2 linked regions of the Bombyx mori genome follow. Each later gene encodes a partner of the first gene's protein in a complex. Links are inferred from orthologs where the notes say so. Each region holds a gene or a part of one and is shown in the gene's direction. Other genes may lie near its edges.

Region 1 (4,615 bases):
CACATGATTGTTCGTTCGTATGTTCTTTGAGTATGCATAAGGTTGTATGTTAGTTTTACGGAAACCTACATCTTCTTCTGAAGTTCAACCTGCTTCTCCTTCTTTTCATAGTATTCCATAATCTTGAGACGTTGCTGCTGGACAAGACGGCCCTTTTCGATGTTGAACTCCTCCTCGGCCTTCGCATCGATTTCTTCGGCCTTTTCGTTGGCCTCTTGTTCGATGAAGGCCATCATGTGCTTGATCTGAATTGAAAAATATAAACATTCTGATCAAAAATACGGAGTATAATGCTCAAAAACATGAAGTCCAGTCGAGGCAGTCTTATGAGTTGTCGAAATTACAATGGCACATCCCGATCAATGATCGTGACATATAATCCTTAAAATACTTGATTTTGTAGATAAATCAGTTTTGTTTATAACAAATACCTGTTTCTGAACATCTGCATCGCTGAGCGCCATGGCTGCTGCTTATTTTTAACACCACTAACACGAAAAACGGCCGATATAGAGCCAGAAAATTAATGACTGGCTCGGGGAAAGAAGTCTACGCCTATCAGACGTGCTTCTTTATTGAACAATCATATGATCTTAGTGTTGCCAAAAAGTATTGATCAGACATAGACAATTTTTTCTGAAATATTCAGAATATGAATCAATATATACATCTCGATCCTTCTTTGCTCGATGTCGGTAAGTGAAAAGGATATAAGAACTAGGTCGGCAGAGGCCGTATTCTGGTCGCTAGTCATAAAGCACGCAGAAAAACTTTTTGATTTTGTTCTATTTATGTAAATAAGATATAATAAACTTTTTTTAGCTATTATAAAATTTTTGGAATCAGATAGCGTTCCCATGTTTGCCGCCAGAGGCACTGTTTCCACTACATACAAATTTGAGATCTTTTACGCAATTGAGAAGTTAAAAAACTTGCACTAAGCACACCGAAGGACCGTCTTCTGACCGTTGTCGAAACTTTGTTAAATCTGCAATAACAGCAATGTGCACCCGATCCTTAAATATTTTCGTTAATGTTTTGAAATGAAATCCACAATTTAACTGCTGTTGTAAATTGTGAATTTGAACTAGGTAAAATGTATTTTTAACGATTTTCTACCCATCTGTACCAACGCCAGTGGTGGGCGAGCTCACAGACCTCTACCTGAAAGAAATTGTTAACACTGCTCTGGCTTCGCTGAATCTACTACCAGTTAAGAATCAAGATTCAATGAGAAACTCAGTGAGTGTCATAGGGGTTCAGTACTCTCAGTTAAGCTTCGATTTTACGACGCTAGTGGAGGGTACTTGAGACTGGGTTGAAGAAGGCCGAAGGCCTGGATCGAATAAGGCAACGACGATTGTTCGTTGTCATCATATAGGTCGGGAATGTAATTTACGGCGGCTACGATAAGAGGGCTATTACGCCGTGCAGCTTCCTCAAAGAAAGGTTCTGATGTTCTCTTCAAATATTAACGAATCGCTTCTAAATCCAAGTATTCGTGAAGATCTGAATCTTATACACCGTATACATTTTCCTTGTTTAAAATTTTCATTTTCTAATGTAAGATTTAGAAAAGGACGAAGAATCAAATATTTGCTATATATACCTAGTTAAATTTCATTAGATTGTAGTCTACGTAATGTGTGCGTAGATTGCTTTCAGACGCCATCCAATCTGCCGGAAATGTTGTATTCACAGTGATACAGAAAACACCTCAGGGAAGATAATAGATGTCTGACTCGAACTCGTTTTCAGTTATGTTTAAAATATTTTTTGGTTGGGTTTTATTATAATGAGACCGTCCGATCCATTCATCTGTTCACCTATCGGAATCATTAGGAAAGATGAATGATCCACCAAGCTTCCGGCACTTTGCAGGAATAGTTTAGTTTTAGACAAGGGAGGTGGGTAGTTTATAATTTTCAAATAATGGTTGTGAAGTTTAGATTATTTAAAAAATAAGGCTTTAAGTTAAAAAATAATTGTTTTAATCCTAATTTAGAGATTTTTTAAAGTAATTCTGAACAAAGATAAGAAATGAAGAAACGAAGTTCTACGAGGCACAGTAGCCAAACTCATGAAGATCAGGTTTGCTACTTATAGTTATGCTGTAGAGTCTTATAAAACTCTCAAATACACGTTTAAGCACAGTATTATGTACAGTATTACAGGTTTATGTACAGTAACGATGCTACGGATTGCACTAGTATGGGTAGTATAGTAATGTAAATTAAATAATTTTATTGTAAATTCTTAAAAATATTAGTATAAATTTTAAATGACAGATCTATAATAAAGAGACAAAACGATTTATACTATTTAAACTATTTAATAAAATTGTCAAAACTATTTTTATTTTTTAACAAACTAATTCATACGGCCTGGTTTTGAAGCTTTTTGATAATTTCCGTCTGCTTCTTCAACCTTTTAACAATATGGCCGCCTGTTGTTTAGGGTAATGTGGCGTTCAGCGAAATCGTATGAAAATTTTAAAACATTTATCAGTGACGTAAAGATGTATCAAGTTTACAGTGTTTTATAGCAGCGTTTTACGCGAAGACAGTTTTATGTACCATTTATATTGGTGTTTAAAATTTTGAATGCACAAAAAACATCAAAATTGGACAGTCAACAAATCTTGTTTATTACATCGAAGCGGAAATATTTATCTTGGCAGAGTATACGCGATTATGAACCATTCTTATTCTTTATAAAATAGTTGAACAAGGACTGATAATAGGTAAATATTGACAACGTTCTCAAAGTGAGCCCAACAACATCACAACAAAAATTGTCGCCATTGTTTGACAGGGGCAACTAAGCCATTTACTGATCTTTAATACATTCTCCATATCCTCTCTACTGTATAATATGCTCAACTGAAAACAGTTTTGTGATGCTCTTCAACTATCATCTCTCTCATACGTCATGCATACACTTAACCAAAGTTTAAATTAATAATAAGCAGCATGCAATTCCATATATAGTTAAGTATTCCTTCTACTTTCTCTTTCACATTTCCAACTACTTTACAACCGATTACTCCATGATTTAAATATTAGTTTTATTTATATTATATATTTATAGCCCATATTCCATAGAGTTGAGTCACACAAAATTGATCTCTTTTGTCTCAAACTTGATAACAAATTTTCTGATTTACAACAAACATTGTATTCAGAGGTTCTGCACATATTGGCACAGAATTTAACTGCTTTTCCGTTTAATATAACCATTGTGTCAACATACTGTAATTACTTGTGCAAAATACTTAAATTGTGAAAATTATTCTTATAAATGAACTCTAAAATCACAATACGAACCAGATACTGATAATGTAAGAGCAATAAAAATTATATCTGCTTATAAAATTGGAACACGATTTAAATATTTGAAATTGTAAATGAAATAGGCATGAATCTGAATAAATTTTATTCTACATCAACTTCGTCTCACACTTCCTTGACAATACCTCTGTAAAATTATTAAATATGTCCACTACATGATTATAGTCCATTGTGTGTAGTCATTTATCTATTATATATTATTAAGAGGAACTTTTACCAAGTAGATGGGTATTTTTGCTTAAGAAACGTTTTATGTTTTAGATCAAAACTAAATTAAATCTAAGCATTCACTAGGCACAAGTCAGGTTTCCGGTAAATGTAGCATAAAGATGTTATCCTTTTCCCCTACCTATGCTGATAGCCTTGAGAGGCTAGCAGAGGGAGATATTTCAGCTTCCACTGAGAAGATCCAACTAGAAACTCAGTGGGCTGTGTTTATTGGTTAATTTACTCGTTGAGCCCTTCGCCACAAGCAGTGGGTTGTGCAGGTTCAGAGAGGACGGTGGCCGGTGCTTAAGGTACCTAAAAGCACCGTTTATAGATCGGGAGATCCGTAATGACGTGCTTAGGGCAATGTTACCTACAATAATTATATCATATTGTAAAAAGGCTTATTTTTTTAGGTTATGGCAAACTTGAATTTTCAACAAGTGCCTCGAAGCCTAGCTAGTGGCGGAGTTGGTGGCGTTGGAGGCAGAGTGAGCTCAGGTCTTGTTGGTAGTGTCTCAGGACATGTGACACCAACTTTTGGGGGCGCCTTGTCGCCTGGCCGTAATTCAACTGCAATGCCAGGCGGAGCTCCCCCATCAATGGCATCTAGAGCTACGTTGTTTGGTCAACGAGCTTTTGCAGACCGAAGGGTTACAATGCCAACAACTTTATCTCAAGCTAATTCTAATTCAATGGTAAGTATTTTAAAATATTAATTGTGTATATGGCTAAAAATCAAATTAGTGTTTTCTGCTGATAAATATAAATATCAATGAACTTTACTTAAATAAATGAAATGCTTAGACTTTAAATTCAGACATACCTTGAAGTAAATCATCATGTCAGCTAACTTACACCACCATCTGTTAGAAACCTAAGGAGGTCAAAGAGTATATAGACACTTGAAAGGCAAACGTGACTAAGTGACAATAACTGCTTTGTACATAAATGGTAGGCAATAACCATATTCGATCTGGAAAAACAAATATATTTCTAGGTATATTAAAATTATTTCAATCCTACAGCTAGATTTGTTAAAATATAATTTTTCTCAG
Region 2 (4,310 bases), on another chromosome or scaffold:
ACTAACAACTGTAGATAGTGTTCTAATAGAATAGGTAATCGATTTGACGAAAAATGATGTTCCCAATAGATCGAATCGAATCGGTGCTTCTAAGTGTCTCTAAAGTTTACACTTTATCTACGGTAGGATCATTATAAGCTAAGTTAAAAATTAAACACTAAACTAAAAGCTAATAGCGGTGGTTTATTAACTGTTTGGTACCTGTGAAAGTGCACAAAAGTGGGAATATTAAACAAAAAGCCGCTGGACGTGGCTACTCTGAATCCTCCAAAAAGTCCACTGAAAAAGTTTTAATAAATAACCACCATTTACTGAGATTATATTTCATCCCGTATCATTTCATCTCATTTCATTTATTTTCGTGCCAATTGATTAGTGTTTCAAACTAATCAACTTCATTTCATTTCACAACATAATCATTTTTCATAAAAATATAAATATATATATAAAAGATTAGGCTTTATCGTACGATACCTTTGCCTTTCAAGTTTAAAAAATGGAACTAGACAAGAAAAAGAAGAATAACTAGAATAGTCATGCGCAAAATGTATCACTGAGCTGAAAAGGTAGATACATATCATTTCGCGCTAAAGATACAAATCACTAATTTAGCTCACTAGACCAGTGATTCAATTCAATAGATTGGTCTCTCAATTAATTCATTTCTTAGCCTAGATTATTTAGCTCAGTATACATATATCACTCACTTTGTATTGGAATATTTACAATGGTCAGTTCATTATATAACTGTCAGGGCCTTTCATACACTAAGTAATAGAAAATATAGTTTATTTACACTGTTTTATGATTAAACTTATTGATGGTAGGACCTCTTGTGAGTTCGCACGGGTAGGTACGACCCTGCGTATTTCTGCCGTGAAGCAGTACAGCGTTTTGGTTTGAAGGGTGGGGCAGCCGTTGTAACTATACTGAGACCTTAGAACTTATATCTCAAGGTGGGTGGCGCATTTACGTTGTAGATGTTTATGGGCTCCAGTAACCACTTAACACCAGGTGGGCTGTGAGCTCGTCCACCCAACTAAGTATTAAAAAAACATTAAATATTTACAACATGCAGCTTACCATAGAACTAGACACATTAAGAGACTTTTTAAAATATATTTTTTGATAAAGCATCGCGTTATTCATAATATGTATTAACTTCGCAAATTAATGGCTAGCTTTTTGTGTAAGAAAATAAAGCAAGTATAAATTTAGTTTCAAAAATACAAGAGTTATGTTAAGCTTTGCTCTTAGAGAAATAATGTACATTTTTCCTTGACAACCCAATACGTCGAAATGAAATTAGCGTGAAGTGAACGGTCATTCTCGTCAGCCAGCCTCACGATGCATCTATCTCACTCATTCCTTTTTCTTTCGTTCGCTCATCAATTCACGATACTTTCATGAGCTAGTGATCTAGTGAGCTATAAATGAGTTACTGATAATTTGGAGCCAGTGTTAGTGATACATTTTATCGGTGTGAGTGATATATATCTTTTATATCACTCACTCAGGAGCTATACATCCTTACAGTAGAGCTAAGCTTAATGCCACAGATAAGACATTTAAACAGCTAATGCCTTCAATATACAGAATATACTATATAACTACACCTACACTATTTATGAACTACAAGCCCTAAAAGAAGTTGTAAGTTTGTAAGGTTATACTGTTTTCGTAAATGATATATCAAGTGTACATACAACAGTACCAAACAGTACCTAATTCTCCAATTATAAATAAACTTGTAAAATTTGTATAATTGTTTCTTAATGAAGCAATTTTGTATTGTTAACGAATTGTGTTTTGACTTTTACTAAAAAACTTCTATTTTCATTATTTTGTGTTTCGTCTAAGCGTATAAATTTATTTGATAAGTATTAGTTAAATAAATAAAATGTCTCAACATCTGATTAATGAAAACAGTAAATACATACTCGAGTAAGTAAAAACACCACGAGAAATTAAACTTGCAAAGTTGTTTATGTTGTTATTGTTATTTATTTTTTCTTTTTAGTTTATTTTCCGAACAGACAGTCGATTCGCAGGGCTTAGATTCAATATGTGTTCAAGTTCAAAAAAAGTTCCCGAAGACCGATCATTTTAATCGTGAGTAATATATTTTTATTAAATATCAATTCCACTGGCAGGACTATGAGACTTGACTTAAATTTAAAGATTAAAATTCCTGGGAATTTAAGTTTAGCCGTGTGCTTATCAACATTACGTTTACACACCACACTTACAGGATTTGTCCTTTCAAGGTAGCTTACATGAAAATAATGATAGGGTGGTAAATTCAGGATGATAATGTATTAGCATTTTCAAATCAACCTAAAGATATGGGTATCTGTGTACAAGACTAGTGTCTGTTAACTACTGTTGTACTGTAAATTAGCAATATCCCTACTAAGAAACCCTAATAAGATGTAATGTTGATAATAAGTGGTCCATTTCACCGTACAGCTGTATAATACACCTACCAAGCTTCATCTCTGCACTCCCCTAAGGTAGACTGTTAGAGAATGCCTATGGCATTAAGTCCGCCTTTATACTTTCTAGTATAAGAAGTTATAAATAAATAAATAAATAATGGTAATTAATTGTGGTTGTTAGTGAATGATAGCTTGTTTCATCTCCAAACATTTCAAAGCTCATCAACTAGGTAGCAGAACCTTATTGTGGTATTTATCATCTCTGTTACATGCTTACCCAGGTAAAATTTGAAGTATATCACCTGAGATGTGTTGTTGAAAATATTCACAAACCATAACAGGAATATAAAATGTATAAATTTCTCTTTTTGGAAATCCCCAATTTAGAGTTTGCTGGATTATACTTCATTTTCAAATGATAGTATCCATACACAACTTTTGTATTGATATCTATTTAATAACAATCATTAAAGTTATATATGAATATAAATTTAATTTCAGTAAGTCTGCTCCTGTCATCGCTGATTACGGGCGGAGATCTTTCACTCCCTGGGCAGCGTGTTGTTGCACTGGCTCTTCTATATGACTTCTACAAGGGAGAAAACCCATTCAGCCCATTGTTCTTGCATCTCCTAGAAGGGAAGCTGGGTCTTCTGCCTCTAGCTCCACAGGAGAGACTGTTTATAGGACAGCTGCATGGATTCTTGCCTGTAAACATTAAAGATGTGAGTTTCACTTTATGATTTTGGATATATATGATATTAAATTTATTTAAAATAAAATCCTATATATCGACGCTTAGAAGGCAAGTGTGACTAAGCGACAATGCGTGAATTTTACAGTAGACTAAGACTCGTTTTTACTATTTACTGATGTAACCAAAAAAAATGATCAGTTATTACCGAATTTGTAGGTTATGAAAAAATCAGCAAAACAAGTAATGATGACAGAAGTATCTCCTAAGGACCTGGAGTTTGATTACTCACCGCTGCAGGCGATTGTGGCCGAACGTTTGACTGACACCAGTGCTGTGGCCCGGGCCACTTGTTCTGCATTGATACCGCTTAGTGATGGGTAAGACCTAACATATATTATGAAATATAGACACATCGTCTTTTCGCATTAAAAGTGTACAATTTCCAAAAATACTCGAAATTGAGTTAATATGCGGAATCATTTGGTATCACCAGTATTTTTCTCATAAATACTGTCAAAAGGGCGTAGTTTTTTATTTTTTGTTGTTTACCTATGTTTTGCCTACTATTAACTAAATTAATACATAATTTTATCTTACTTTAAAAGACAGATAATGTAACTGGTAAAAAATAAAAAATTAAAGTTGCGAAGATGATTAGTATTAAAAATATTACATGTTTATAAACCTTTAAAACACTCTCCTATAAAATTAGTAAGTTTTGAGATTATATAGTTTTAATGCAAGGAAACGACATGATTAATTTAAACCTAGTAAAATCTGGAGATATTGTAATGTAAATTCAGTTTTCTATAAAAACGTTCTGGGATTGTATTGCTTATGAGCTAAGGCCGATTTTAAAGTAAAAAAAGTTGACTGAGTTATGACTGATAAAGGTTTTTATTTTATTGCATGAGCCTTGGCCCAGTTAAGGTGTTACTGGAACCTATTAGTAATCACAAGTTGATTTTCGCCCTCTACAACCTCATGAACTTTCAATTCAAAATATTACATGGTGGTACCGACCGCTTCATTAAAAATATAGGAGCATTATAACACGATTTTATTACTTAATACAAACAATCAATTTACTGGCGGTAGGACGTCTAATGTGTCTGTACGGGTAGGTACCACCGCCCTGCTTATTTCTGCCGTGAAGTAGTAATGCATTTCGGTTT

The links.
Region 2: regulator of gene activity (region 1) and CCR4-NOT transcription complex subunit 11 share a complex: the UniProt entries of both Homo sapiens proteins name them as parts of the CCR4-NOT complex. The link is inferred for Bombyx mori from reciprocal best matches to the Homo sapiens genes CNOT2 and CNOT11.

What each region holds. Positions count from the first base shown.
Region 1 is NC_085113.1:7,420,041-7,424,655, reverse strand, and holds the start of regulator of gene activity, read left to right. Parts: upstream 1-1,681; 5' UTR 1,682-2,040; coding exon 2,041-2,091; intron 2,092-3,973; coding exon 3,974-4,255; intron 4,256-4,615. UniProt on the Homo sapiens protein: Component of the CCR4-NOT complex which is one of the major cellular mRNA deadenylases and is linked to various cellular processes including bulk mRNA degradation, miRNA-mediated repression, translational repression during translational initiation and general transcription regulation.
Region 2 is NC_085125.1:1,942,955-1,947,264, reverse strand, and holds the start of CCR4-NOT transcription complex subunit 11, read left to right. Parts: upstream 1-1,401; 5' UTR 1,402-1,900; coding exon 1,901-1,944; intron 1,945-2,020; coding exon 2,021-2,112; intron 2,113-2,939; coding exon 2,940-3,163; intron 3,164-3,351; coding exon 3,352-3,512; intron 3,513-4,310. UniProt on the Homo sapiens protein: Component of the CCR4-NOT complex which is one of the major cellular mRNA deadenylases and is linked to various cellular processes including bulk mRNA degradation, miRNA-mediated repression, translational repression during translational initiation and general transcription regulation.